4 linked regions of the Arabidopsis thaliana genome follow. The protein of the gene in region 1 interacts with the protein of each later gene in a pairwise test. Each region holds a gene or a part of one and is shown in the gene's direction. Other genes may lie near its edges. The genes, in order: AT4G25680, AT1G12810, SWAP70 and SARA1A.

The links.
Region 2: the proteins of AT4G25680 (region 1) and AT1G12810 interact in a two-hybrid assay, tested with the Arabidopsis thaliana proteins (one large-scale study listed by BioGRID).
Region 3: the proteins of AT4G25680 (region 1) and SWAP70 interact in a two-hybrid assay, tested with the Arabidopsis thaliana proteins (one large-scale study listed by BioGRID).
Region 4: the proteins of AT4G25680 (region 1) and SARA1A interact in a two-hybrid assay, tested with the Arabidopsis thaliana proteins (one large-scale study listed by BioGRID).

What each region holds. Positions count from the first base shown.
Region 1 is NC_003075.7:13,085,071-13,092,832, forward strand, and holds AT4G25680 (PPPDE putative thiol peptidase family protein), read left to right. Parts: upstream 1-2,902; 5' UTR 2,903-3,354; coding exon 3,355-3,489; intron 3,490-4,087; coding exon 4,088-4,349; intron 4,350-4,438; coding exon 4,439-4,506; intron 4,507-4,588; coding exon 4,589-4,882; 3' UTR 4,883-5,091; downstream 5,092-7,762. Other genes in the region: AT4G25670 (stress response NST1-like protein), read right to left, coding at 361-927; AT4G25690 (stress response NST1-like protein), read right to left, coding at 5,351-5,926.
Region 2 is NC_003070.9:4,363,781-4,371,221, forward strand, and holds AT1G12810 (proline-rich family protein), read left to right. Parts: upstream 1-3,475; 5' UTR 3,476-3,551; coding exon 3,552-3,594; intron 3,595-3,713; coding exon 3,714-4,011; exon of another isoform or gene 4,012-4,239; coding exon 4,240-4,338; exon of another isoform or gene 4,339-4,691; coding exon 4,692-4,740; 3' UTR 4,741-5,024; downstream 5,025-7,441. Other genes in the region: AT1G12800 (Nucleic acid-binding, OB-fold-like protein), read right to left, coding at 1-44, 135-261, 336-1,071, 1,164-1,409; AT1G12805 (nucleotide binding protein), read left to right, coding at 2,948-3,175; AFB3 (auxin signaling F-box 3), read right to left, coding at 5,099-5,884, 5,977-6,472, 6,549-7,000.
Region 3 is NC_003071.7:13,140,363-13,149,600, reverse strand, and holds SWAP70 (Pleckstrin homology (PH) domain-containing protein), read left to right. Parts: upstream 1-3,540; 5' UTR 3,541-3,882; coding exon 3,883-3,906; intron 3,907-4,018; coding exon 4,019-4,126; intron 4,127-4,333; coding exon 4,334-4,395; intron 4,396-4,487; coding exon 4,488-4,571; intron 4,572-4,665; coding exon 4,666-4,697; intron 4,698-4,805; coding exon 4,806-4,887; intron 4,888-5,149; coding exon 5,150-5,378; intron 5,379-5,619; coding exon 5,620-5,847; intron 5,848-5,929; coding exon 5,930-6,222; coding exon of another isoform or gene 6,223-6,226; exon of another isoform or gene 6,227-6,302; coding exon 6,303-6,675; 3' UTR 6,676-6,936; downstream 6,937-9,238. Other genes in the region: AT2G30890 (Cytochrome b561/ferric reductase transmembrane protein family), read right to left, coding at 1-265, 497-645, 1,203-1,370, 1,699-1,827; GSTF10 (glutathione S-transferase PHI 10), read right to left, coding at 7,209-7,663, 7,833-7,881, 7,968-8,111.
Region 4 is NC_003070.9:2,961,102-2,967,998, forward strand, and holds SARA1A (secretion-associated RAS super family 1), read left to right. Parts: upstream 1-3,921; 5' UTR 3,922-4,045; coding exon 4,046-4,174; intron 4,175-4,282; coding exon 4,283-4,414; intron 4,415-4,519; coding exon 4,520-4,840; 3' UTR 4,841-4,871; downstream 4,872-6,897. Other genes in the region: AT1G09170 (P-loop nucleoside triphosphate hydrolases superfamily protein with CH (Calponin Homology) domain-containing protein), read right to left, coding at 105-248, 491-690, 980-1,106; AT1G09176 (uncharacterized protein), read left to right, coding at 3,051-3,503; AT1G09190 (Tetratricopeptide repeat (TPR)-like superfamily protein), read right to left, coding at 5,162-6,616.

The sequences.
Region 1 (7,762 bases):
GTATCACGATTCGAACACACCTCTCTTTTTTTTTCCCCTTTTCACAGCAGAACGTGTGATTTTGTTAAGAAGATATTTTCAACACGTTACTGGCAAAGACCAAGCAAGTCTTAGCATATGCATTGCACACCTATTAGAGGGTTTGTTAAAAGAATGTGATATAAGATAAGCAACAATGCAGTATGAAGAGACTTCAACATGTATAATAGATACAACTCAAAATGCGTCTTTAATATTACAGCGAACGAAAACAGAGTATAAGGTCTAACGTCAAGAGAAAAAAACAGAGCATTGACACCAAAGCAAGCAGAAGGCAAATGTTTATTTTAAAAACCGAATGAGGACGAGTCGTGGCATCTGTCATCCCCGGAACATCCCATTGAACACAAAGGCGTTCCCATCAGCATTTTCAGATATCTGTAGCGCCGAGACAGCCTGAGCAGCAATCAAATCAGCTGATATTCCCATGTTGTTATCCCAAGCACCCCTCCTCGTGAATGGCGACCAGTTACTATCTCCTAGTCCATAGCCATTTGACACAAACCCAATCCCTTGAACCGCATAGCTAGCACAGCTTTGGCGAGGAACGTAGTTAGTTCTTTCATCTCTAAACAGATCCATTGTGAAACCCTTTTCTTCACCAAACTTGACTCGAGATGAATCATCAGAATCTTCGCCCAGTAGGACGTGCAGAGCAACAGCTTCTGCAATTGCAGCTCCTTCTTCATCTAACCTTTGTTGTTCTTCCAATCTCTTCTGCTTCTTCTTTTCAAGCTCAGCCCGGATGGCTGCAGAAGTAGCAAGAGCTTTCTCCAAACGTCTCTTTTTCTTCTCAGCTTGTTTGATACGATCAAATTCATCTTTACCATGCTTCTTCTTCGCTTTCCTAACGACTGGCTGAACTTGCTTGCACACCGTGTGATCCATTATTGCTTGACTATAAATTTCTAACTAAAAAACTGCACTAAACTCGATGATGTTGTAGAGGAACTCAAGAACTACACCCACTCTGGTATATAGGAATACCTCATGGTGCGGACAATACAATCCCAGAAAGAAACAACAGGAGACAACTGAAGAGAGAGGTTATAAGAATTCGCAGACTTATTCTTCGAAATCATTCGTCCAACATTCCCGCACCCCTTAGACTCGCCCATTTTCTGCATTGACAATTACTTGATTAGTTTCAAGTTGCAGAGGAGTAGTAACACAGAAATCCATAACATCAAAATCTGAAAGCCAAAACAATAGCATTCAAACTTGTAAAAGCTAACAGTTGTAGATAGACCACCAACCAAGCAGACACAATTGTTCTAATGACCTCGAAAGACACCAAAAGTCCTAAAGAAGTCAAACAAAATCAGCCACCAATTAGATTGAAGATAGTCAACAACAGCCAAAGAGTAAAACCTAATGATTACTCAAACCCTAATTTCCCAGAGTAGGAGCAAAGTTGAAGAATACAAAGGGTATCCATCCATCCACAGAAAGAGTTAATTCCACGGCAAATTTCAGGATCTCTCTTAATCCTCAGCTAATAACTCAATTAAGACTAATGGATACAAATTACACAAATACAGACACCAGATCTGCCGCAGAAACTAATTTTCAGATCAAAATTAACCTCAATTCAACAAGAACAATAAGAGAAACAATCGGATTTAATCCATTATGTAGGTCTAAGATCCATGAATAAGCATAAGATCCGAGGAAGCTAATCAAAAAGACTTTTAACGAAATAAGTCAATTATATTGAAAAGATAAAGGGAAATTGAAGATAAACGGAGAAACAAAGATGATGATGAAATTTAGATCCAAACCTCGGCAATATGGCATAGAAGCAGCTGCCTTCAAAGAACTCCTTTAAATTAATCGGATAATACAGAGAGATAAACAAAAACGCAGAAGTAAAGTTGCTGTTTTGATGCAGAGAGAAAGAGAGAGGAATTTCGAGAGATAAAAAAGAAGAGCAGACGAAGAAGACGAGAGAGAGAGGATAATAGAAGGAATTATAACTAGTACAGAGAAAGAAACGCAGCGCGACTTCTAATGAAATGGGGACACGTGTCGAATGATGTCTGACTTTTTTTTCAAGTGTAAGTTTTCAATTGGGACTTTGGAGACTTGGCCGGTGCGACTTCGTCTACTCCCAGTATTTTGTGGGTCCTAATGAGGGCTATTAGCAGCCGTTAGATCCCCCGATAACTGTTTTGAGATGTTTCCGGTTCCAACTTTTTTTTTTGTCGACTTCCGGTTCCAACTTTGCAATATTTATCATGTAAGAAAGAAAATTTGAGCCTTTCACGAATATGTACAAGTGTCATGTTACCTTACATTACAATAAAATATAAGAGCTTAATTTGCATTCAAAGTTTATCAACTTGACTAAGCTTTGTTTGTGCTTTGAGCATCCCATTCAAGATTCATCCACCAAAATGAGACTTTGAATACACTTTTGATATAACAAAAAACTTGGTCGAATTTCTTTGGTCCTAATTTATTTCCTGAATCCCATCTGTTGTACTGGGCCTAGGCCCAATTGGCCCAATATGTATGTACCATAAAAAAGAAGTCATTAAGTTTTTATGATTGACTTTTTTACATAGAAGCAAAATTATAAATTTGGTGTATGAATGGATGGACTAATTCGAGACGAATCAGATGGCTAACGAAAACCAGACTTGTGTCCGTTTTGCATTTTCGAAAATTATCGGAAGAATCGGTCAATTGATTACCCTCTTTTTTTTTTGTTTACCCCATTTTTTAATAGTCATGAATCATCTTCCTTGGTTGTGTCAGATTACTTAAGTCATTATTTTGTTATAGAGATGCTTTACTAGTATTTTTGATTTGTTTTGGTAAGGACACTTGTCTAGCTAAAGAAATGTTAGTTAAATGAAAGAAAAAAGGTTCAGTAGTTGACCCGTTTAATCAACTGCGAACAACGTTCATACTAATATAATTTGTTACCATAAATTCATAATCTAAACGCGTGCTTAAGTTGTAAACAAAAGGAATTAACAAGGGACACGTAAAGTAGCAATTCCGCAGGAAAAGCGAGGGTAAAATTGTCATTTCAGTGGATCCCCACCACCACCACCACCGCCGCACCAGTTTCTTCTTCATCTCCTACGTCTGAAATTGAGAAATCGGAAGAAGAAAGATAAGTCTAATCTTGTGCCTTTAGATTTCTTTTCGGGGAGATCTAGTAGTTGTTGGATTCGTTAAACGGAGAAGTGGATTTGGTACGAGTCTTTAGGTTTCCTTCTTCACCAAAAGCTCTATATAGAGAGAATCTGCGAGCTCTTTTTGGTAGGAAATTAGGGTTCGTGTTGCTTGGTAAATATAGAATCAATGACGGAGGTTGTTCTGCATATATACGATGTGACGAACAGTGGATCGGAGAAGACTAACAACACCATTGTTCAGATCAATAGGTTCTTCAAAGACGGGATCGGTCTTGGCGGTATATTCCACAGCGCTATTCAGGTACTACTCTTCGTCTATATTCTATGAATCTACATTTATGTACAATTATCGATGATGTCTAAGCTTGGTTTTGGTCTACTTTATGTAGATTTGGTTTTTGTTTCTGTGTATGTATGTGGAAATTAAGAAGTTGACGGCATGATACTTTTCTTTTGATATGTGAGGCTTTAGTTTAATGGTTTATGGTCCTAAAGGTCTGGAGCTGAAGTCTCTCTTTTGCTCAGGATCTTGTGTTTCCTAGTACTTTTGGTAACTTTCCATATGATAATGATTGCGATATATTGACCAAGTGCTCTCTGGAGACTTGTTAAATCCAATGATGGCTTACGTTTACTTCTGTGATCTTTGACCTGGGCAAATATAATTGCATATACCACTTTCCCATTTGAGTCGTGACAATTTGGTGTATTCCAACAAAACTACCAGAATTTAGGTTTTCAAGTTAGTGCTAATCATTCTATGTTCTTAGGTCTGTATATCTATGCAATATCATTTGATTATTCTTGTTCATGGTTTTGTTATTTTTTTGTGTCTTGTAGATGACTATTGATTCGCAGGGAAGAGTGATTGAATAGAATATTTTATGACCTTTGTGCAGGTATATGGAAACGATGAATGGTCTTACGGGTATTGTGAACTAGGAACTGGTGTATTCAGCTGCCCGAGTGGAAAGAATCCAATGTACACATACCGTGAGAAAATCGTCCTTGGCAAAACAGATTGCACAATCTTCATGGTGAATCAGATGTTGCGTGAACTCAGCAGGGAATGGCCTGGACACACTTATGATTTGTTGTCAAAAAATTGCAATCACTTCTGCGATGTACTCTGTGACCGGCTTGGTGTGCCAAAGATCCCAGGTAAAGCCATTTTTTGGGAATCTGGTGTGTGTGTGTGTGTGTTTTGTCTTCAAGGCTTATGTGACGGCTTGGGTTCTGTCTCTTAACAGGTTGGGTTAATCGCTTTGCTAATGCTGGGGACACAGCCTTGGAAGTGGCAGGAAACACAGCAATGCGGGTGGGTTCCCTTTTGTTTAGCTTCTCTACAACGTAAATGCAACATTATGGGTGTTCAAAACTTGTAAATTGGGATTTTGCAGATGAAGCAAGCCAAAACTGAACTTGTGTCAGCTAGTAAAGTGGCTTATCGCTTCCTCTCGAATGTTACTTCGAACGTAACCAATGGCTCCAATGGCTCTCCACAACGACCGGGAACTCTCAACAATTCAGACAGCGGGAACTTGAGATTGCAAGGTAGTTGGCTCAAAGGCTTACTTAACACAGCCAAACCCTCCACTAGTACAGAGATAGGGAACAAAGATGAAGATGCAAATCATGCAGTCACCAATCAGAAGAAACAAAGCCGTGACTCTGATGTTCTACTGTTTCAGTAGCAACCGTACCGATCCACCACAATGCATTCGGTTAGCTGTATATCCACCGGTCTAAGAGTCACGCACTATTCTCCTCGTCTGTACCCATTACTCTGTATCAACGTTGGAACCTGTCATTTTTTCTTGAGTTTTTAGCTCACGTGTGCTTTTGTTAAGATCATTCTCGCTTGTTACTGTCAAATCTTAACATCAAAAGGTTTATTAGTCTCAATACACTAGAAATTGTGACTGAATTTGGATAATCACGTGATTCAAGAGGTACTCTGTAATCTGTATAAAACTTAGAACGTATTTGTGAATGTTACAAAGAGAATTCAGAAAACATCTTTTCAGCTAGTCTAACATCAAAAGATAAACAACGAGGAGGAATTTTCACACCAAAAGGGGTTCTAGAATAAAGAAAAAAACTGCAACTCTACTCATAGCAAACACTTGTTTCTGCAGCCAAGTTTGGCACGATGGCTTTTGTCATCCCCCGAACATCGTCTCGAAGACATAAGCGTTCCTATCAGCGTCCTCAGATATCTGTAGTGACGAAACAGCCTGAGCAGCAATCAAATCTGCAGATATTACCATGTTGTTATCCCAGACATCCTTCATGAATGGCTTATATGACACTGACCAGTTACTATCTCCTAGTCCATAACCATTTGACACAAACCCAATCCCTTGAACCGCATAGCTAGCACAACTTTGGCGAGGAACATAGTTGGTTCTTTCATCTCTAAACAGATCCATTCCGAAACCCGTTTCTTCGCCAAACTTGACTCGAGATGAATCATCAGAATCTTCGCCCAGTAGGACGTGCAGAGCGACAGCTTCTGCAATTGCAGCTCCTTCTTCATCTAACCTTTGTTGTTCTTCCAATCTCTTCTGCTTCTTCTTTTCAAGCTCAGCCCGAATGGCTGCAGAAGTAGCAAGAGCTTTCTCCAAACGTCTCTTTTTCTTCTCAGCTTGTTTGATACGATCAAATTCATCTTTACCATGCTTCTTCACTTTCCTAGTAACTGGCTGAACAACTTGCTTGCACAACGTGTGATCCATTATTGCTTGCTATAACTCTTTGATTCCAACTAAAGTAAAATGCACTAAACTCGTTGTCTAAGAGGATTTCAAAGACTACAACCACTCAGGTATATAGGAATACCTCATGGTCCGAACATTACAATCCCAAACAGAGTCAACAAGAGACAACTCAAGGGAGAGGTTATAAGAATTAGCAGACTTATGATTTGGAATCATTAGTCCTCCTTTCCCACACCCCGTAGACTCTCCCATTTTCTGCATTGACGATTACTTGATTAGCTTATAGTAGTTGCAAAGGAGAAACAGATAAGCCTTGTGCATAACATCAATCTTAAAGCAACAGTCAAAACAATAGCATTCAAACTTGTAGAAGCTAACAATTGTAGTTGCAAAACATTCCACTTTATTCAAGGAACATAAAAAGACACCAAGTCCAAAGAAAGTGGTCAAACATAAATCAACTAACGATTTCAACAGTCAACAATAACACAAGATAGAAGATACAACAAACAAGCTAATGCCTGATCATTTCAATGGATGCAAACTAGAAGCAATCAATCGAGAGTGACCAGATCTGCCTCAGAAACCCATAATTAAGCATTAAATCTGATGAACAAATGAAACTGCTCGAAAAACTTTTCTCGAAAGAAGTCAATTCAATTAGAAAAAATCTATGGAAATTGAAGATAAACGGATCAACAAGATGATGAAATTGGATCCAAACCTCTAGAAAATGGCATAGAAGCAGCTGACTCAAAGAACTACTCTAAAATTTAATCGGATAATACAAAGAGAGAAAGAGAAACGTAGCTTTCTGGATCCAGAAGACTCTATAGAGACAGAACATGACATACAGTAGTTCAAGAAACGTAGGCTGACTTGTTGTTTGTATCCAATCAAAACAAGCCACGTGGTAAATGACTTAGAAGCAAATTTTACTTGCAGTTTCCTTCTTTGGGACGTCTATCTACTACACTTGGACCGGTGCAACCATATCTTGTCCATTAGCTTAATTCAGCTATCTAAAATTATTATCTCAATTTTTTCACTATTCAAATATACAAGATCATGTATTTCACGTGATTCGGATGGTTTTAAATTTGTAATTTTTTTTGAGCATTTGTTAATATTTTGAAGTAACTTTTTTAAAGAAAAAATCAAACTAATAATTTAGATTTTAGACCCTCGTCGTCTTATATCCTACCCCTTTATGTATCTGTTAAAATAATTAATTTTTCCAAACAAATAATAATATAACGGGTATGGTCATGGAACGGAAAAAATTGGGACGGAAATGTGTATGACCCGAAATAGATATGCATAGTTGTGCCTTTCATAACAAAGCTATTAACCGTCTTCAGAATCCATGTAGCTTTTCTTCGAACGATTGATCGAGACTTCGGTCCCAACTTTGAAAACAACTTAATGCATAAGCGTTTTCAAGAATGCTCTCTTAATTTTTAAAAAATTCAGTGGACTTAAGCTTTTAAGTGTAGCTAAGACACGTAGCAAATTGGGGAACCTTAAGCTCTTTGTCATTAGAAAATGGAAATTGCAAAACGCGTGGGGTTTACTTATTTTTCGTATTGGAACCGAATAATCGTGATCTTGGTTAGGTTAAAAATAACAACTCATTTTGGTTGGTGGAGTAGCCACAAGAGATACCATTCGTCCACGAATCAATCTTGACTTTACAAAAACTGTATAATAAGGGAATGTGTAATAATGGATTGATTAGTGCATGTGTTAACGGTTATTATTATTGGAGCTTATTCGTCAAAAAGCGTACCCAACTTCCTATTTATGTCAATAGAAAGCTATGCATGATCGATCATTCGATCTTTCTATTGCAGT
Region 2 (7,441 bases), on another chromosome or scaffold:
TTCCTATGTTCGGAACTGATGGCTCAGCGGAAGACGGGTCTAATCTATAATAAAAGTAACCAGTCAGGCAAAACAGAAAATAGGAGTCAAGAAAGCAAAATTCCTCAAAGTCAAGATACTAAACCAGAATTCACCTTTGTGGTTTCCCTTGTAAAGAAGCTTCGACGATGGTTTGAGAAATTGGTTTCGAAGGAATTCTCTCGAGTGGATCACTGTTAATAGTTTTCTCCTCAGAGGACATCTCGCTATTGAGCTGCATTTCTTGATAAAACAACAAACATATGAATCAGCACAAAGTTAGACTATTTAAAAATATTCTTAGTTTGTCTCTATACCAGTTGGAATTGAATTATTTTCTATCTCCGATGATTCCAAAACTCCGCTATCTGCAACTTCCTTTTCTATGTTCTCAAGCTCTGGCCTTGCTTCTGGCTTCTGAATTGAGTTGTTTACTATCTCAGATGATTCCACTCCTCCGCTATCTCCAACTTCCTCTTCTACATTGACAGGCTGGAGCCTCGCTTCTGGCTTCTCCAAAAGAGTATACTGTGAATATGTTCCACCTTCCTGTTCTCCTTCCTCCATAGTTAAATCATCAGAAAGAGGCTTGTCTTCCTCTTCTGCAACTACGCTCACTGGTTCCGGTTTTCTCAACAATGTCATATCACTAAACCTCTCATTTTCCCTCTCATTTCTCATTTTCAATGTCAGATTCGGTTTCAACCGCAACTTAGACTCCTCATCATCACCATTACTAGTATAAAACGAACTCGGCTTTCTCAATATAACATTAGGCAATCTCTGCACCTTTGGAGCAGCAACAGCCTCCACCAATGGCTTCTTCAAAACAGGGCTTGGCTTCTTCATCACTGGCCTTTCGAACTTGACTCCATCTTTCAGAACAGGCTTTACCAATTTCAATCCATCCAGTGAACTAGTAGATTTCTTCTTGTTATCCTTTGACCAATCCAATGGAATCTCTTCAACTTCAGGAATTTTACCTTTGTTCTTGTAGAAAGATTTCTCAATGTCAATAAAAGAAGCTTCTGGATCCACTTTTCTAGCTACTATCTGTATAAATTTCACCATTAACATCATCAGCACAACAGAGAGAAATCGAAATACATAAAATTCAAAGAACCGTTTTTTACGAAATCTCTCACCTTAGCCAAAGTCAATTTCGGGTCTTCGCCGAGTAAACGGCCAAAGTTGAGCTCCATTTGATCCCATTCGTTGAGCTTAGGCTCTTCTCTTTTCGAAGCAGAAACTAAAAACTTCTTCTGTTTAGCTAACAAATTCTCTCGGTTTCTTCTCACTCTAACCCTAGAAGGAAACGACAGGAATTTTCCGGCGAGAGAAGCGGAGGGTGCGGCGGCGGAAGCGGAAGAGGATAAGGCGAGAACGTCCATTTTCCGATTAAGCCGAAAGATGATAATTTATACGAATGAGAATCATGGGTCCAATCAAAATCACGACTTTATTTTATCTCGAGTGAGACTGTTGCTTGAGCTCTGTCTCTTACTCTCCCCCTATGTGAACTACAGAGAGGAAGAAATGGCTATGGCGGAGGAAGGAGCTTTATCAGTTTAGCTCAATATTTCGCTTCCTGGTTGAACCAGTAAGGTGAAGACACGTGGTTGATGAAGGAGCAACTACAAAAAAAAGATTGCATTTTAACGTCTTGCCGTTGTTTCGTTTTAGAGATGAACTACACGTCGTTTTTTGAAATTTGCTTTAACGTCAAATCTTTTCATACACGCGTAAGATTGGGCTATCATGGGCCTAAAATTGGCCCAATAGAAGGATGGGAAAGAAACTCAAAGAAGAAAACTCTACCAAATAATCCATGTTTTTTTATGTATGCAGAAGTTTATTATATCTGTATATATAGATAAACACTGATATATCTAAATATCTAATGCACTGAGGCTATTTCATTGTTTCAGTTTACTTAACATTGTTATTTATTTTGATATCGATTAGGGTTTGGATTTTGTGGGTTCGTCATAAAAGGGACTAGAGTTTTTTTTTATTGAAAAAGGAAACGGACTAGCTAGAGTTATAGTTTTGCATATCGGCTCTACCTAAAGTTTTAAATAAGTTGAATTCACGCATGCATCAAATAACTCGTGCACTTTAACGAACATTAATTGGTTAATCCACTGATTGTCAAATATCGACTATGAATTAGTCCATTTTATTCTTCTCGTTCCATACAATAAATCGATGTTAGTACAGTGGCAAAAGTGTAGTTTAGCAAGGACGAACACATGTGAGACGAGAAAAGGGACAAAGAGCTGAAAGTATAAATAGGCGTTACGTTCTATAGCGGTTTTCATGCTGAGAACATCATACAATTGTCGTTCGATATAATCTGTGGCTTGCATAGTTTACGGCTCCTCGTTTGGATTTTTGAGGAATTTATATAATTATAAATAATGACTATTTGTATTTTCACATACTTCAGTAGATAGATTCTCGAATCTCGAGATTACCAATATCATGCACATCATCATATGATGCATACACGTGATGTAATAAAGTTATTTTAATATGTATTCAGCCAAAAGTTGCACCAAAAAGAGAATCCATCGAATCCACGAAAACTAGGTTCTACTAATTAGTTATCTATTAAATTATTTCACAAAACTAATAACCATATAGCATTCAACACGAGTACACATCTATAACGGGGGGAAAAAAACTTTTATGGAAAACATTTAAAATAAATATGTATAAGTTAGTTAATATATGTGCCAAAACATGGAACCTAACGCCCACAGTTTTTCCCCATCTATAAAATATATGTACTTTCAGCCTTTCACTTCAATTCCCTAGCTCAACAAACAACAAACTATGAATCAAAACATATATCTCTTTATTTCATAATCATTTCCATAAATTACACCCTCAAAGGTTTTCCACTTCTTAAATCCCTTTTTATCAAATGGATGTCTTTATATCGGAAGAGTATATCAACCGCCGGAGATTGGAGAAAAAAGCTGCCACCGTTGCCGGAAAAAGCATGAGGTTTGGCTCAGCTTCAAGCAAGACACCAGAGAAGAGAAATAGTTACCCTCGGATATCGGAATCTCCGCCAGATAATGAGTTCCGGGTCACTGGCGGGGGTGTTTATGATAGCTTTGCCTTTGTGTTCCACTGCTTCTCGCCGTAAAAAAAACAAAGCGTTTGTGTTTAGCGATCAAAATGCATGCGCAATAGTATATGCATGGGAACTTTATTAGTTGTAGCTCTCGTTTTTCTAACATTTACTTGAAAAAATAATTCTTCTTAACACTGTTTTTCTGAATGATGGATAGAATTTCATGTTTACCAAATAAGTGGATAGGCCCAATAGCAAACAAACGAATAAATAAAAATTATTATCGGCCCAAATCCAATAAGAACGTGAGCAACATGATTTTAGTGACACGTGAATTTACTTAAATGAAAAGAAAAGCCTGGCACTTAAAATATATTTATATTTTCCAATAATCTCAAAAAAAAACTCTCTGATTCGAAAAGTGAAATTTGATTTTGACAAAAAAAAAATGAGCTACGACAGAGTCCCACCGGAATCGTATCCTCCTCCAGGTTCGTTCGTAATCACTTCTCCTTCTTATGATTCTCTTCTCTTCGATTCTAAATTCTGATTCTCTTATTTTGATCTATTCTAAAAGTACTAAGATCCTGTTTTTGATCGGACGAATTAGGATACCAATCTCACTATCCACCTCCGGGTTATCCATCAGCACCGCCACCGCCGGGATATCCTTCTCCTCCGTCGCATCACGAAGGATATCCTCCACCTCAGCCTTACGGAGGATATCCACCACCGTCTTCACGTCCTTACGAAGGCGGTTATCAAGGCTACTTCGCCGGAGGAGGTTATCCTCATCAGCATCACGGACCACCACCTCCTCCTCCGCCGCAAAATTACGACCACTGCCATCATGATCATCACCATTACCAAGATTCTGACTCTGGTTGCTTCTCTTTCATCCGTGGCTGGTTCGTTTCTTTCTCTACCACTTGCCGCCTTTTAATTTTCGTTTACTTTCATTGTTGTGAGTGCACTGATTCGATTCTCTGTGTTTTTTTTGGTCAATCTTGTTAGCTTTTATGTTGGATCACTGATTAATGCTCAGGGTTCATTGAACTAGTGTTTTGGTTTATGGAATTTGGGAATACTATGATCCTGATCAGAACCAGATTCCTTTGAGTTGATTTATGGATAAGCCATAATGTGAAACTCAAGAGTTCCGTTGTGAACCCTGACTTGACTTCTTTATCATTTTGTTTGGTGGCCAATTATCGAAATTTTAGAGCAAGAGATTCGTATTAATCCTTAGATTTAGTTCTCTGAGTGCTTTGCTGATCTTCTAAGGAAGGTTCTTGTCTTTTTATGATGAGTTTAGAGCTATCCATGTATAGACACATTTTTATGTTTATCTGTTGGACAGGATCTTTTACTTTTCAATGGATCTAGTGACTCTCTTAAGAACTACCTAATGGCTTTTATTTTACATTCTTAACCCCATAATATTTAGTATAAAGTTTGTAGATAAAATGTTATATCATCTGCAGCTTTTCTTTTAGTAAGAGATTTGTGATTGACCTCAAGTAGCCTAATCATGTTGCTTACAAATTGCGATTACGGAATCCTTTTTTTTGTGGGTTGCGAATTGCAGTCTTGCTGCTCTTTGCTGTTGCTGTTTGTTGGAGGAATGCTGCTTCTGAGAATGCCGCCAGTCTCTGTGGATCTCGTCGTTTACTGTCAGCATTATGTGTCTAATCGAAGACATATGCCATAACACTCTATGTCTTGTGTACTATCGTGTGTCAATGTCTGTTAATGTTTACCTCTTTGTTTGAGAGTGCACTCATCCAGAGCATGGATTAGACAAGTAGGTTTCTTGTGGATGTCATTGTAATTTGTATTATTTGGAAAACGTGATTGGTATTTTACCTAAATTTATGTTTTCAATGGCTGAATTACGGTGATAATAAAATGCGACATTTGTATTTGTTCCAAGTTTGATAAAAGGCAAAAACTAGTACAAAGAAAAGTTTGAAAACACATGAAGGTGCAAAGAGACTAAAGAATCCTAACATATGGTGGTGCATCTTTTCTAGTCCCAACCACTGTTCGGTAGAGGTAAAGTTTATCAACCTTCTCTCTTTCATCTTCTTCATTCTGTTCCATCCCATTATTCTCATTCTCGTTGATGATCTCTACGTTAAGCCGTGGCGAATTCTGCGCGAGCCTCTTGCAGCCACCGAGTGTTACTTCACAAGACGACATCCAAAGGGATCGCATTGTTTCGTACCTACCCACGTCAGCAAGAAGCGCAGCGTTCCCAAAAGGACTGTCCCTTATCTCCAGCTTCCTCATTTTTTTGCATCCATTCAACACATAGAGCATTCCTTTGTCAGTGTCCCCCGCAAAAGCTATCGAAAGCATCTCGAGCTGTTCCGCGTACATACCGATGTAGAGAAAGACTTGATCGGTTAAGAGACCGGAGACAGAGAGCCGTCTTAGACCCTTGCAAGCTTGTACGATTGCACCAAAGCCCTCGTCCAGTGATTGAAATGTAATGTGGTCAGGTTTGTGTGGCTCGAGAATGCATAGCCTGAACCGGATGAAGTTTGGACAGTTTTTGGCCACGGCTATGAGCGCTGCGTTTGTCATCTGTTTGCAGAAGTACAGAATCGAATGAAGTTTAGGGCAACCTGCGGAAATGGCGACTAGTCCAACCTCAGTCACAGATGCGTTGTTATCTTCTTCACCATGTACATCAGAGGGAAAAACTCTAAGCTCTTGTAACTCTTTACATGTGGCAGCGACAACCGCAAGTCCTTTGTCACCAATACTATCCAATATCTGTAGGAACCATAAAAACCATTTGTTGTCAGGTTAGCAAGTTAGTTTATTTTCTTCAGGACAGTGAAAAGAGAAAGTGAGAACAAACTTACCCATAATCGTTGAAGTCTCTTGCAAAGCTGAATAAGCTTAATGAGGTGGTTGCCTTGGATTTCAGCTGCATAGCTGAGGTTCAAAGAGATAAGGTTTTGGCAAATTGGGTAGAACGCTGGGAGGCAGAGTGGAGCAACCTCTAAAAAGCCAGACAAGCTCCTTAACGATGTGTATTTCTTAATGGCAGTCATGAGTTTTGCAAAAGATTCAGGATCTGGCTCATTCTCATAAGACCCTACTCCTAAGTCCACTAGCTGCGGCGCACAACTCATTAACCTTGCGAGTGCGTCAAGCGGTACTGCACGGTTTAACTTCAAGCTCTTCAGGTTTGGTGACCTAGCAACAAGCCTTTCTAAAGCAGCAACATTGGTCTCTCCTTTAAGGCAAGCGAAATTCAACGACATAAGAGTAGTGCAGCTATCTGGAAAACAGTTCAGCCATTGACCTCTATGATCATCAATCTCATTCTCTTGCAAGTCCAGCTCACGAAGATGCCTAATAAGAAAGACAACAACACATTTTAAAAACAACATAAAACCTAGAGAAACGCCAGTAAAAGAAAGGCCTTTACCTGCAATTAGCGGCAATGGAAGCTAAGCCATCAGTGGTAAACCCTTCACAGCTAACAAGAACCAAAGACTTGAAATTTGCAAAAGAACGTGAAAGAAGGTCCAAGCTTTCATCTGTTACAACCATCCGCTTCAACCTCAGCTCCTCAAGTCCCACACGGCTTCTAGCCAAAGCTTCAATCCAAGGATGCACGAAACCTCCCCATTCATGAGGAACCAAGTTGAAGTCTGCAAAATGAGGCTTCCCTTTTAAAGTTAAGGATTTGAGACATGGAAACCTCCTGATCAACCTCTCCGGGTTAATCGCGTAGCAGTTTCCGATGAACACTTCCTTCCTACTAAACCTCTCGATCTTGTGCCATGATTTGCAGACCAGAGATATCGAGTTCCTGTCTTTGTGAGAAGCTACGAAGTCAAACACGTGCTCTATAACCTCGTCTGGGAAATAATTCATCTTCCTCTATTGATTGTCGAACAGAGGAATTGACTTCAAGCTTAGCTCAGTGAAGAAAGCTTCGTGGTCCAGTGAGATCCACAACACTACCAGGTTCGAAATCGGAGGCTCACAAAATGGAGAAGCTTAGAAGAGCTCAAGAAAATCCACCGAAACCTGAAGAATCTGCAACAAAGCGAGATTCAAATTATACAAACTAATTTAGAAACAACAGATCCTGAAACTCGATAAACTAAACACAGAGATTAAGATTCAGATCTACAAGAAAGTAAATGAGCTAGATCTAGAAAGAGTTTCGAGACCTTGAGCTTATGAAGCTACTAAGATCGTCGTCGGAACCAAACTCGCTGATGATTCGATTGAAGAAAAACGTTGGAAAATGATGAATCTGGATAAAACTCTGGAGTTAGCTTCAAGTCCAATGATGATGAGATGATCAAA
Region 3 (9,238 bases), on another chromosome or scaffold:
TGAGATGTTGCTGTTATGATCAACGGATTGATTTCTGTTAAAGGTAGCTTGGCTTTGGATATAAGACCATTTATCTTGAAAAAGATAGACCAAGGCAATACAAGAGAGTTGTGCAGTGAAGAGTATGGTCCAAAGATTAGCACTTTTTGATGTCTTTTTGGCGTAAGCGTGTAAACCTGTGTATATGTTTATTATCCCAAGAATAGCAATTGATGTTCCTAATATCCAATGTCCTACAAACCACTTCCTTCTAGCTTTTTCTTCTCTGCAATGCGAGTAAATCAATTAAAGATTGAATATAAAGTACTAGACGCATTTCGTAGTTCTCGTCATCATAACATTTGATTAAGTCTAACTAATTTGCATTCAAGATTTTTCTTAGAAATATTCAAGAACAAAATAATGAGTGTTATTAATCTTAAGCTAGCTTAATTTTGTCACAAAGAATTATCGGTGTAACAGCTTATTTTATTGAAGAGAAAAGAAACAGAAGTACCTTGGAGGTCGGAGGAAGCCAAGAAGAGCTTGGAACCATACAATGACGTAAAGTCCAATTCCAAGCTGTTGGTGATGATTACTGAAGGAATTGTTGAAGTTTATTACTGACATTACTGCCCCTATTGTCACAAGTATCACTGCAACCATCTGCTTCATAAATTAATCACATTGTTAATTGCTCACTTAATATTCCAAGTAAACTATGAGCCGCTTGTTGATAGATAACAATAGTTAAAAGTACTTGCTGCTGTTTAATTATCAAATATTGTTTTGTAACAAAATTGACTAGCTAGTAGGTGAGGTTTCTTAGTTAAGTATCAGAATGAGAGAAAGAGAAAGTCAGAAAGTCGTTAAAGCTAAAAATAAAGAGGAAGAAGATAGATGCTTTAGCTTGGCCTTCAAGTTTCCATGATTATCAATGTGATTAACAATCTAGAATAACCTAAAAGGCCCTACTAATTACTAATGGAGTACTAATTAAAAATCACGAAAAAGTTGTTAATTGGATGCAATCTTTATTGTTTAGATGAAGAGAGAAGCATCTTTGCTTTACTCTCCATCCACCTATCTTCTCGCACCGACCATTAAATTTCATTTTCAACTTATACAATACTTTCAACATACTTATGATTTAGTTTGTTGAATTGTAATATATATTTGATATATATAATTTAAATAAGAGAGCCAAGAAAAATGAAACATGCCTGAGAAGTGACATGAAGAAAGAAGAGTCGTCGAAGAGTGATTATAGGTTGGTCTTTGATAGACATTAATCTGATGGAGATTATACCAATTGGCATCAAAACACCCATCGCTGCCCAAAGCATAAAGCCATGCACTTTGATTTCGTACACAAGCTTTGGATTTAGTTTCTGTTCAAGAAAAATAAAAATAAGAGCTTCATACCAATATATATTCAGAGTTTTTGATTAAAGTTATTAACACGCAGGCATTTTATACAGAGAGTAGGAAAAAAAAACTATAACCTTTAAGCATCATGGAATAATAATATGTACATGACTTACATACATTATAATCATGCGATGATAAATAAACTCAATAGGTTATAAGATCAGAAACAAAGGAAATGCCTGGAGCTTCATTGTAAAGATTTATCAGCTATATCAATGAGATTATGAAGAGTTTGAGATTATTAGATTTTAATTAGGATAAGCGAGAGAGAAAGAAGAGCATACGAACCTCGGAGATAGGAGAAGTTTCGACTGGACCATTGACATCAATGGCCAAGCTTCTGGTGTTTTCTTGGGAGGAGCATAGGGGAAGGAGGAGGAAGAGGAGAGAGACTAAGAGTTGATGATGAATCTCCATGACTTCATGTGGTTTGAAGTTGAAACAATAAATACAAAGTTTAGAATTGATGATAATCAATTCATGAGTTCATTTCATAAGTATAACTGTTAAAGTTTGTGTGTATCTAGCTCTTTGTAAAGAATTGGATGACGGTATATATGGAACTTGAATACTTGATCCACTAGTTTCTTAGCTATAGATAGAAGAAGAGAAAAGAAAAGAAAAGTTTTAGAATTTGCTTTTAGAGTGTAAAGAAATGTGATAAAAAGAAAAAAAAAAAAAGTTAAGCTCGCAACTTTGTTATATAATATGGTTTTGCATGGAGGTTGATGGTTTATTTTACTAGTATCTCTGAATTTAAATGAAGAAAAGCAAGTGGAGGAATGGGCAATCGATTTGATATAACGAACTTCATTTTTGTCAATCTTAATTAGATGTTAATAATGATGTTTTATATCTAAAAAGGACTATATATATATAATTTGAGTATTGAATTTAATTAATGAATGTAAGAAAAAACAGAAGAATATTCAAGTGGATGTCACTATCTCTGCGACTCTACAGCACTTTTGGTTTTCTATGAAAAAAAAAAGAAGAAACTGAAACTGAAAATTCCTTAAGGTCAGATTCATCCAAAAGTAGAATTTTAATGGACTTTTATGTTTTGTGGAAGAATGTCAGATTTTGCAAGGGAAAGTGAGTCATGGCAGGTTGCACTAGCTCATAGACCACTAACAATATGTTACTGTCAACAAACATCATGATTTCACTATGGAAGGTATACATGAATGACCACATCACATGGATATATATTTTCTTATTTTCAAACACTAATCATAAGAACATACCAAATTTTAGATAAATGGTCAAACTTATAAATGTCAAAAGGTGTCCAAATTCTGTAGTATATTATATAGTAGAAGTTTCTTCTTATTTTGGAGATTGAATATAAAGGAGCCAAAAAAATATGGATTTTGATAGCTTCTTAGACGTTTCATTTAGGAAATATATGCATGGTTGGGTTGATGAGAATGCCATAGAAGTGAAAAACAAATGAGAAAATTCATACAAAAGGAATCTACATACGTAGAATAAAGCAAGAGGACCACTTCACGTTTTGCAGCTTTCCCACTTCAGTTAACCCCAAAATTGAATATTGTCTTGGCTTACATGTCTACTACTCTTTTGCTTTGATGCTTTTCAATCCATTTCTGTATCCCCAACAAGTTGTTGTGTTTCCTCCTCCTATGTAGTTATCAGCGCCTAGCTATTAAGGAAAGAGTATCATCATATCACATATGATTACTCAAATCTCATATATTATTGAATATTATGTTATGTACTTATATCATGTTTCATTACGACCATTAGGGAAGTTGTAGTACATTGAAAATCTTGAAGATTAAGAGAAAGTGTAAAGCTGTGTCTAACGCATCTATGTTTGAAGTCCCTGTGAACTAAGTGTCTAAGTCACCACTACCAAGCGTCGAAGCTAGTACGCAATATTTCACAATCTTGCACACATTTGAGATTAGTTGGGCAAAGTAAGAACTCTGCTCTCTCCTAAACGATTGGCTTGTTACAGCCCGGCCCATTGATGTTCCTTAGCCCATCGTTTATGTAAAGCTTCTCCCTTAACAAAGCCTACCTTCTACAGATCTACTTAATCATCCTCATAACCAAAAACAAAACAAAAGAATCATGTGATGACACCTCCACCGTCAGATCAAAAACCATAAAAATGAAGTGAACAAACAAAAAGTGAGAAACTCAAGAACCGGTTCATTTGACGAGTAAGCTGATCCAGTATCGTACCGACCGGTTAAGTTGATTTGATCGCGTTGAAAGAGTGAAGACAGATTCAACTGCAATTCCGCGAAACCAAACCTAACAGCATTTTTCTCCAATTCCTTCTTCTTCTTCTTCTTCTTCTGTAACCTCGTCTTCTTCAGCTTATACTCATAGCTATACCAAAGAAAACCTCTTAAAACCCTTCTTCTCTCGATCCATCGATCAGCAACAATTCACTTCTAATCGATCAAGAGCTTTCCGATCTCGTCGATCCCAATTAACATGGCTTCCAACGGCGCTTCTCCGGTCTTTTTCTCTCTTGATCTCTGTGTGCTACAATTTAGTCTCTTTCTTTTGGCTGCTTTTCTCATTCACACTCTTAAATTGACCCATTTTGTCAATTTCTGAAAATGCGCAGAGAATTGTTGATGCTACTGAGAACAGCTTGGATAAGATCAAGCGACAATTGGCATCTGGCTCTGGTCGGAACTTGCTACAAGGACCTCTTTTCAAGCGATCTGAAACTGTAAGTCCAATTTTTTTAAGTGAAAATGATCAAAACCAGTTTTTGCTTTATTGATTGGGATTTCTTAGTTAGCTCAAACTAAGAAGACTCTCTGATAGCTCACTATTAGATTTCTATAGCTTAAACAAGTCTTTTGGCCTGAAATGTCTTGGCTTATTCAAAGGTTCACAATGATAATATCTTTTGTTTGTGTTTATGTATGAATAGCTGAGAAAATGGAACGAACGATGGGTGATACTTGATCCAACAACAGGGAAAATGGAGTATAAGTGAGTTATATCAATTTGCTTATGTAGCTGCATTTGTGTGTAGACCACTTCATCATGGTTTTATTCATTTCTGATGTATTTCCATGACTCAGGACGAGGCGAAATGAGCCAACTATCAAGGGAACAATTTTGTTTGACGAAAATAGCACAATCTCCATCTCTCCTGTCAACTTCCAGTATGGATGCTACATTCTTTTTTTTGTTGCTCTGTATAATCATCATTATTTGGTGTCTGTTTGTATCATTGACTTTGTTTCTTTTGTGTTTCAGGGGGCTTCCAAAATATAATGGTTGCTGTATTTGTATCCTTGGTTTTAGTAAAATGTTGGCATATTTATAATTGTTTCTTTTGTCTATAAGGAGATAGTTGATTGGAATCTAGAGTTGAATTTTCTTCAACTTGATATAAGATATTGGTACCCCACAGAAGAAAGATTACTTTTTGTGTGCAGAGACTCCTGGTGCAGCTAAAGCTTGGGTCACAACCTTACAGTAAGTCATCTGGATCTTCATCTTTTTGTTTGCTTCTCTTTCTGTCCTTTTTATTTACTTACCATTCTCTAGAGAAGCCACCCCGCTTATTTCATCTATCTTAAATAATTCATAGTTGTGTTGATTTAATGGTTTCGTCGTCGACCATGTTGAAAGAATCATCTTTCTCTCTCTTTTTACGTTTCTTACTGAAAATGTAATACCTTCTAAATGCCCCTCAAAAGCCAATCTGATAAACCTTATCTTTCTTTGTTCGTTCCAGTGCGACACAGCTAGTTCTAAAGGCCCATAAGGAGGCTGTCGAATCTCTAAGTGGAAGTGGTTCTGCAACACTTGGTACCGTTGCAACCGTTGTTGCCGCTGCCAATTCAACAGCATTGGAATGTTCCAGAGAAATTCAAGCAGCAATGCAGATCTCTTTGAGGAATGCATTGAAAATAACGCCAAATAAACCGATTGATGGACCACTAGATGATTTGACAATAATGAAGGTGTGGTATCTTTGCATCTCTCTTTCTCTTCGAATTTGGGAAACTTTTGTGAATAGCATATTGACATCCTTTGGCTGTTGAGATTCTGAAATGTCAAGATGAACGATGAAAGCATATAGGGACACCTTACAGGAAACTCTGCTTGTCAAGGATGAAAATTAACAGAATTAGCATAAATCTTATTCGTCCATCTTCATTCTAATGTCCAGGTTAACCTTATTGAGCCACTTACATCTTACAGGAAACTCTGCGTGTCAAAGATGAAGAATTACATAATTTAGCCAGGGAACTTCGTTCTCGTGACTCAATGATAAAGGAAATAGCAGATAAGCTATCTGAGACTGCTGAAGCAGCTGTAGCTGCAGCATCTGCTGCTCATACAATGGATGAACAAAGGAAAATCGTTTGTGTGGAATTTGAGCGCTTGACTACAGACTCACAGAGACAGCAAGAAGCCACAAAATTAAAGGTAATGAGGCCATGTCATATATAGATACTTTTGCATCCTTGTGTATGTTTTGTTGTTTATTTGATCTTTATCTCCTATGTAGCTCAAGGAATTGGAAGAGAAGACCTTTACTTTGAGTAAGGAAAAAGATCAATTGGTTAAGGAAAGAGACGCTGCTCTCCAAGAGGCACATATGTGGCGGTCTGAGCTTGGGAAAGCCAGAGAGCGTGTTGTCATACTTGAAGGAGCTGTTGTGAGGGCCGAAGAGAAAGTGAGGGTTGCAGAAGCAAGCGGTGAAGCAAAATCAAAAGAGGCTTCTCAGAGAGAAGCAACTGCTTGGACAGAGAAGCAAGAGCTTTTAGCATATGTGAATATGTTACAAACTCAGCTTCAAAGGTGAGCCTATCTGAATCTATCTCCCAGGGAAACTCATGACTTTTGAAGGGTCATAAATCTCTTTATTTTTGAATAAACAGGCAGCAACTAGAGACAAAGCAAGTGTGTGAGGAGAAGACTGAGTCTACTAACGGCGAAGCTTCTCTTCCAATGACAAAGGAAACAGAAAAGAATGTGGATAAAGCATGTCTGAGCATTTCAAGAACAGCCTCTATACCGGGAGAGAATGTAGTCCATATGAGTGAAGAGCAGGTAGTAAACGCTCAGCCTCCGGTGGGAGAAAACGAATGGAATGATATTCAGGCAACAGAGGCAAGAGTTTCTGATGTAAGAGAAATATCTGCAGAGACTGAACGGGACAGAAGAAACAGCTTGGATATCCCGGTAGTGTCTCCTGAACCTAACGTTCCACGCAATGATCCGCCTTCCGAATCATTTCATCACCAGCCTTGAATAAAGATTGGTAGATCTTCGTACATTTTAATATACTCTTTGATGGTCTGGTAATGTTTGGAGAGTTGATTCTTCTAACAACAAAAAGAATTTGTCTTTTTAGTTTTCTTGTACATTCAAGAGTTGTTATGTATCTGCCGCTCTTGAATTTGTCTGACTAGGGAATGATTCTTTTTCCCTTTTATTACAACATGAAGAACAGAGAGATATGTGTTAAACTTTGACTTATGTTTTTGGATTCATATAAACCAGTTTTCATATAAATGCAATCCTTCAACAAACCACGATGGTTGTGATGTTAGTACCAGTTTTATCAAAGACCTACACTGAATAGAGGAATATACATGGGTTGAGTCACTCTGATTTTAAACTCTTATTGAAAAGCTTGAAAAGTTACAGAATACAAGAAACCAGAGACAACAAATGAGACAGAGTTCCGTTTCTTATTGAAACAACAAGACAATCGACCCGAAAACGAACTCCCTCAAAGAACACAAAGCTCACACAAACCCCCCAAGTCAACATCTCCTTGTTTAAACAGGTAGTGAGTACTTAGCGGAAACCTCCTTCCACGCAGCACGGCTACTAATCTTATCCCACCAAGCGCTAACATGCTTCCTATCTTTGATCAAATGAGCCTTCCCAATAGGACCAACAAGATACTCGGTGAAAGGAAGGTGAGCCAAATCAGCTAGACTCACAAAATCACCAGCCAAGTATTCGTTCTTAGAAAGCTGAGCTTCATAGACATCAAGCACTTCTGCAAGCTTCTCTTCACTCTCCTTAATAACTTTCTCATCAGCAGGGAAACCCATAAGTGGTGCAAAGACAATGTTGAGCGTTAAAGCCAATAGTGGTGGATGGTAACTTGTAGCCTCAACGTCTAACCATTGCTCTACTTGTCCTCTCTCTTCAATAGTCTTCCCCAAAAGATCAGGTCCTTGTGATCTATACTTCTCTGCTATATACCTCATGATCGCACGCGACTCTGCAACACAAATCGAAATCTCTTCAACACTCATTTACCTAAACAATCTTTTCCAAACAATCAAAAAAATCTCAAAGATCATGTGATTCATTGATCATGATCGCAAATGATCAGATCCATTATCAGATCATGACTCGTGTAGTAGTAGCTTAAAAGAGAAGAAGTGTACCGAAGATTTTGTAGTCTCCGTCGACGAGGACTGGGATTTTACCGAAAGGCTGCATCGATCGGAAAAAGGGATCATGATCGGAAATAGTCACCGGAAAAAAAGAAACATTTAGTAAAAAAGAGGGAAAATCGGAACCTGAATCGCGAGATACTCAGGCTGTCTCTGTTCTCCTTTCATGAGATCGACATTGACAGTTTCGAATGATACTCCCTTCTCCACCAATGTCACAACAGCTCTCTTTGAAGAAGCGAATAAAGGAGCATAGATTGTCAACACCATTTTTCTTCTCTCTTTTTTTTTCTACTATCAGTTTCTTTCTAAACTCACTATAGCAGGACGCGATTTTATAGAGGGAAAGAAAAGAGAGAGAAAAAGGGATCTGGTTAGCTGCGTTTGCGGTAGTAGGCTAAACGCAGTCGCACTTATTAGTATATTATTATTTATACGTGTCGGTATAGGTGGCGGCTAGCTAGTGGCGGCAACGTTTCACGTCATATTTGACTTTTCTCAGCACGAAATTTCCAACGTCCCATCAAATTATGAATTACATGTGTGTGTTTTTTAACAATGTTATTTATTCATTTTTAATAAGCCTAATAAAGAGAGAGACCACTTGTTGTAAGTATATTTGATTAAAGATATTCCCCACTTTGTTGTAATAAGATGCCAAAATGATTCTCACTTTTTTGAATCAACACATTTTAATAAAATAGTTACGAGACTTGATTACACTTTGTTTTGTTTTGGTTATAAAAAAAAAATGATCAGGCAATGGAAAACCTAAGTTAGCCGATTAAAATTAGGTTGGTGGGTACAAGAAAGTATTTATAAAACGTGATCGAATGAGCCCTCTTATTTTTGTAATTTATGTTCTGACAGATAACATTACTTTATCAACGCAATTATTAGATGCCTTAAACAAAAATTAGTGATCTAATTATCGAAACCAACTTTCATTATAGTGTCTATACTTTAATTTATACTATCCATCATTGGCCCCGAAAGACCAATAAACCTTTTTTCTTTCACTTTTGTCAAATTTGGTAGAGATGTTAAAAAAAAATCAGTGTATCGTCTGATGATGCACTTTATTATCCATAAATAAGCTGAGAGGCTTCTCTCAAAAAGCTTCATGAAAATCAAGATTTTATTCTTAGGGTACCTCTCTCTACTTTGTTTTACTGGTAGAGTGTTTCTTGCTAGATCAGTCACTTCTTCCAATATTCGAATGGTCTTGGTCACAAAACCAAGAATCTTTGGTTATGAATCAAAAGGCCGAGTAAAAGAAGCCAACCTAGATTTTATAGTTGTGGAAGTTCTTTTGTTATCAGACCATGTTCCAACCTAAACCGCAAACTAGTTTGAAGGTATCATCAATTATTTCATACTTCAGTACCTATCCATTA
Region 4 (6,897 bases), on another chromosome or scaffold:
GTGTGTCAATGTTAATTCAGCTTTGTCTAGGTAACCCCTCCGGCAAGGTAGGTCAAGCTGCCTTGAATAACTATGATGACCATTGATTCGAACCTAACCATTACCTTCTCAAAATCGGAGACTTCAAACGTTGGAATACCCATTTCCTCCACAAACACAAGAAAATTTCGAAGATTTTCAAAGTACTGAAACGCAGATAGAGCTGCACCGTCTTGATTAACAAGAGGATCATTTGGAGCTTCGACGACCTGAATCAAGACTGAAACAATCAGAACAAACGGTCCTAATAACAAAGGTATCGGCAACAAAAGAATCAATTTCTCAACCTCTTTTATAAAAATATTACACAAAATGGTTGTACTAATCATGCTTGCACAACTTTATACAAGCAGGCCTAAACGTTTCAAAAAAGTCTTTGAAAAAGTTGAGCATAAAATATTCTGTAATAAAGAAGAGGAAAACATAAGAGAAATTAGGTGAGAGACATTACTTTTGGGACAGCACCAGGTTTAACTCTGTTGAGGACATTGCAGAGTAAAATTCCACTTCTTAATGCAATTCTAAAATCTTCCTCTGAAGGATCTGCTGGCAAATCTCTTCCTCCAACTACACCAAGTGTGTTCCTTACCCACCTTGCTGCTTCATACCTTCTCAAGTCTGAAGGATCTACTGGCAAATCCCTTCCTCCAACTACACCAATTGTGATGATTAAAATAAGCACTTAAAAATATGAAATATGTTTCATGATGATCTAGGTAAACAAATATAAAGATCGTAACAACAAAATTTCAGAAAATCATTGGTGAAACAAGAAGCTCACGCGGTATATGGATTCAAAAAATGCGATGGATCATCCTAAAAAAATTATGTAATCCATCTATATTCCCTAATTCAATTATCAATTACAAACCCTAATCTCAAAAATGGACCAAAAGGACAAATAGAAAAAGAAAGAACAGAGGAATATTGACGAACGTACAAGTTTCATCGGCTTTTTTCAAGCTCGAAGAATCCACACCAACGCTAACTTGAATGTTTCGTTGTTTAAGAAAATCCTCCAGAATCGTCGCCAAACAAAGTTGTGAATCTTGTTGCTCCGTCGCCATTGACAAGAAACGATTCAATGCTCTTAGCTTGATCAACAAGAAACCTGGAAAATTCTCAAACCCCAAATCTCGACCACTAGAATCTCACAACCAAAATTTAGAATTCTTAACTCGAAACAGATTTTTCCAAAACCGAACAAAGAAAATCAAAGCTGTGTAGATAGATACAAGAATATTCACTTATATGTGGAACATTGCTCAGATTTATAAGGAAGAGAAAATATAATGAAAGAAATTGAGAGAGAACAAAAAAAATGTTTGACCCTCTCTTTGTTTTTTTTTTGTTTTTTTGTTGTTCTTTGTATGAAATTAAAACAACAGAAAAAGGAAACGAAGAAGAAGAGCGAGGCATGATTCAGAGGCCCCCGAGTCTCCTGGGTTTCTATAGATGGACAATTTCAATATTATAAATCATTTTCTGTTTATTATTCTTAATTGCTCCATTTTAATATGTACGAACTTCTATAGCTACGGAATTTATAACCCGTTTATGTAGTTTCCAACCATCCACTAGGTTTTATAATGGGAATAAATAAATTTGTACTATGTTTTAACAAAAATTCTTAGCGATTACAATTCCCAGTTGATCTAAACAGAATTTGTATCTCTTTGTACTAATAAGTAATACCATTGTCTTATTAAAATTTATGTTTAAATTTGAAAAGTTGCATGTGTAGCTAGTTATATACCAATAGAAATGTGCAATTCTATGCAGAGCTATTTTACTTCCCTTATAATAAATTAGAAAGTGAAAATAAATTCTGGGGATCTCTAAATTCTATGAAGAAATAAAGGCTTATAATGAAACTCTTGGTTGGACAACTACCTTGTATAACTATTTTTTCTTGCGTATGTAGAGGTGTTTTGAAAGCCAATATAAACATGATTCGATGGTTTTATAACCAGCTGAATAAAAGTCAGCTTGAAAATTTATTTTTAGTTTTCCTTCGAGATATATATAATTCAGTCAACAAGAAATAAGATATTTAGAAATACAAACGAAAAAAGTTTTGCTTTGATGATTGTAACCACATCTTTGAATGTGACCCTATTGATAATCCAATTCATTGAAAATTATATACTTCAATTTCTTGTAGACTTTTTTCAATAATATTAATTCTTTTTTTTTCGCTTTGTGATACATTCATGGAGTACATGATACCAACTCATTCAAAAATTGGTGAAGATATAATATTTTAATGGTGTATATAATACACACGATATTGGGAAAAAAACAGACACGTATTACCACGAAGTTATATGTTGCTATATATCGTATAATGCTTGGAAACTTGAGACTAATTAGTTTAGCACCAGTTGGTAACCTGATGTAGATTATTGTAAAATGATCTGTGATGCGTGTTGCGGGTCGTGAACGGAATGAGAAGAGGTAGACATTGTAATAGGTTAGTTTAGTTTGGTCACTTAATGTTGTGTATTGATTATGCCTGGAAAATGAAACCAATGGAACGTAACTAGACTCATTCAGAAATTAAACGAAATGAAACAGAAATTAAAGATAGTAAATAGACCTACTTAAGTTAATGTTTGTGCTTGTAATGATCGTAAAATTGAACATAACAAAAATACATAAAGATAGATTTAGCCAGGCCATATCCAAAATTCTTTTTTTTCCTCGTGGGACCTATGACCCAAGCAAAGTTGTTGGGCCTGTTCATAGCTAAGAAAAAGTTAGTTGGCCTTTCCTTAGGAATTTTTCAAAATTTGATAAATGAGAGGCTCGACACCTTACATAAACGTAAATATTTCGCTAATATTGCTCTATAGTAGACTAGTAGTGGCATCCATTTCTTTTTTCCTAGGAAATGAAGTTAGATTTTAGACGTTGACCAGATGAAATATAAACAGAGATCGTACTACACAAAAGCTCATTTTTTCCTTTTTGGGTTAGAGCGATAAATAAACATAAAAGAAAAGATTAGTATGGAGATACACAGATTCATGAAACGTATGGTTCACGTATTACTATTGTTACTAGCGATTCATGCGCATATCCAAGCCGTTGCTTCAATCACAAATACTTCTGTCTCAGCCGTCCATCTGAAACCTAATTCCATCTTAGGTAACAAAACGTGTTGTAAGATAGATTTCCCGGTTTGGCAGCGGGAGCTTCGAAGCAGCGGTGGTGGCGGTGGAGGAGGTCGTGGTGGTGGTGGAGGTGGCAGCAGTGGTCGAGGCGGCAACAGCGGTAAAGGGGGCAGTAGAGGATCTTCTAATAGCGGCGGCCGTGGCAGCAGTGGAAATGGTAATGGCGGTACCGGTGGTGGCCATTCTGTAGGAAGCGGGGGTGACTGCTTCAAACACCGTGGTCTCACCGGAACTACAATATTTCTCGTCTTCGTAAGCACTTTGATTCTTTATGCGTTGAAACAGTAATTACATGTTATTTTATTTCTGTTTCAAAGTTAAATACTCCATTGTATATACACTTTGATCATGTCTGTTGAACAATAAAAAAAATGTATCCTATGTGTTTGAATTAAATGTGGGTAGCTTTCCTCAGACGGCTCATAATAATAACTTGTGGAGGAAATAAACTCTCCTGGGTCCTGGCCATTAAGGTTTTGCCACGTGGTATTAAGCCTTTAATCTTAAAAAGTTTAACGTAATAAAAAACATCGCAACGACAAGTTCTAGGATCCGACGGTTCATATTGATCGAATGACGATGATGACTACCAATCACAAGGCTCCGCATCAATTTACCAGTCCCCATTACCCACGTGTTTTTTAATTTCTTTTTTTGTTTGCATATATATACACTAATGTTACAACATACAACTATATCTTCATCAACGAAACGAAACTTTGATTTTGGTTTTCTGTTCTGTTCTTCATCTCTCTCTGTCTCCCGATTCTGTTCTGGTGATTTTTTTGGTTGTTGTGTGGATTATAATCCGATATCAGGAAGAAGACGTCATGTTTTTATTCGATTGGTTCTATGGAATCTTGGCCTCGTTAGGGTTGTGCAAAAAAGAGGCGAAAATCTTGTTTTTAGGCCTCGACAATGCCGGAAAAACTACTTTGCTTCACATGCTCAAAGATGAGGTAGGCTTTATTACTTCTACGCTCTCTCTTCAACTAATATATGTATTACTGAGAAATTTTGTGATTCTTGTAATCGAAGATGCTTTAATATCGCTTTTGGTGTTGCAGAGATTAGTTCAGCACCAGCCAACACAGCATCCCACGTCTGAGGAACTTAGCATTGGCAAAATCAACTTCAAGGCCTTTGATTTGGGTGGCCATCAGATTGCTCGTAGGGTTTGGAAAGACTGCTATGCCAAGGTTCACATCCTAATCCTAACTAGATTACATGTTTTGTGTTTATTGATTTGCTTATGATGGAACCAAAATCAAATCTTTCTCTGTGTGTGTGTATAAACTATAAAGGTTGATGCTGTTGTCTACCTAGTGGATGCTTACGACAGGGATAGATTTGTGGAGTCGAAAAGAGAGCTAGACGCTCTTTTATCAGATGAAGCCTTAGCAAATGTTCCCTGTCTTATTCTTGGCAACAAGATTGATATACCTTATGCATCCTCAGAAGATGAGCTTAGGTATTACTTAGGTCTCACCAATTTCACTACCGGTAAAGGCATAGTGAATCTTGAAGACTCTGGTGTTCGTCCCCTTGAGGTCTTCATGTGCAGCATCGTCCGCAAAATGGGTTATGGCGAGGGTTTTAAATGGCTATCTCAGTATATCAAGTAGGAAACCAAGACAGCATTGGTGATTTGCTTCACGTTTTATGAATCAGACATCTCACTCTCTCTATTCTGGTTTTCTTTTAAGTTTTAATAGTAGTAAGTCGACTCCAAACTTCTTGTGCATTATACTATTGGCGTAGTTGTGTTTCTTTGTTGAAAGAAACCGAACAAAACAGATTTTTGTTCTAATCAATTCATTAGAAACTAATCAAACCTGGTGGCCGCATTTTCACCGAGCCAGAAAAATACAAATGTGCTTACAAATGAACTTGATTACCGTATTTAGCAATAAGTCTGGCCTCTATTGACAAAAACCAGCTACTTCTCAGACTGAAACATCGCAAATGGTGCTTTGGCCAGTAGACTTTCTAAGGCGGTTCTTTTTCATCAACGTTCGTACCTTCTCCACATCTTGCCATCTCCCTTCCTCTGCATACAAATTAGATAACAACACATAATTCCCCGAATTCCCTGGCTCAATCTTCACTAACTCCATTGCTGCAACTTCTGCTAGCTTTACATCTCCGTGGCTACGACAAGCACTGAGCAGCGACCCCCACATTGCCGCATTTGCGTTTACGGGCATATTTTTTAGAAACTTAAACGCCTCTGTGATTCTCCCACTTCTACTCATTAGATCTACCATGGCACCGTAATGCTCGGTTCTCGCCTCAAGTTTGAATCTTTCCATCATCAAACCAAACAATTCCTCTCCTCTCTCCACCTGACCTGTGTATGAGCAACATGCCAAAACCCCCAAAAATGTCGCTTCATTTGGAGCTACTTTCCCTTCCTCTATCATAGCATCAAACAAGTCTATCCCAAATTCTCCCTTTCCGTTTACGGCTGATCCCGATATCAATGTGTTCCATGAAACAACGTTTCTACGCTGCATTTTTCTAAATATAGCCGTTGCTGCCTCCAAGTCGCCGCTTTTGCAGTAGAAATCTACCAAAGCGTTTCCCACGGTGATGAAATCTTTAAACAAACCACTGGATTCTGCGGTAGAATGAATCCATTTTCCGGTATCCAACACTCCTAGAGATGCAGAAATTGGCAAGACTGTAACCACAGTCGCCTCATCAGGGTCAAAACCTTGATCAATCATTTCGCAGAAAAGCTCCAAAGCCTCACGATCTCTACCACATTTAGACAAGCTAGATATCATCGAATTCCACGACACAATGCTTCTTTCGCTCATCTGTTTGAACAAATGAAGACCTCTTTCAACGTCCCCGGAGTCACAGAACCCGCGAATCATAAGATTCCAGACGACAACGTTTCTCTCAGACATTTCGTCGAACACTTTCTGTGCATCACCCATTCTCCCACCGGAAGTATAAAGCTCCACCACCCCAATCCTAATTTTCCCAAGACGGTGGAACCCAGTTCTTATAAGCTCACCATGAACGCATTTCCCAAATCGCAAATCAGAAAGAGACGAACAGGATTTGAGCAAAGGCGCGTAAGTATACTCGTCAGCCCAAATTCCCCGGCTTTTCATGGAAGAGAAGAAAGATAAAGATTCTAGAGGCGGACCGACAAGCGAATAGCATTTGATCATGGCGTTGAAGACCAGAACGTTAGGGTTTTGGATATGAGAGAAGACGCGGTTGGCGTAATCAGAGTTGCTGAGGGATCCGCAGATAGAGATGAAGTGGGCGAGAAGGAGATTGGAACCATGAAGGAAGTGACGCAGAAGATGGGCGTGGATTTCGGGTAAACGGGTTCGAGTATTGTGGCCGTGGAGAAGACGCAGCAGCTTACGCTCGATTTCCATTAAACCTCCTCTGCTCCTCTCTACCACTCTCGCTCAATTATAGTTGTTTTGCGCCAATTTCAAACGCTATTGGTTTAAGAGTACCGGTTAAATATCGGTTTAATTTAACATGGTTAAGTACCATTTAGCTACCCTCGACCATCTGGATTTGCTTATGTTCAAGTAGTCCACTTCTAGTTATCCTGCGGTGGTAGTATTTAAATTTGATACTAGGATTCAAAATGTCGCAACTCAATTTTTTTATGATAGAAGTATAAAACAATATACTACATAGTCAGAAT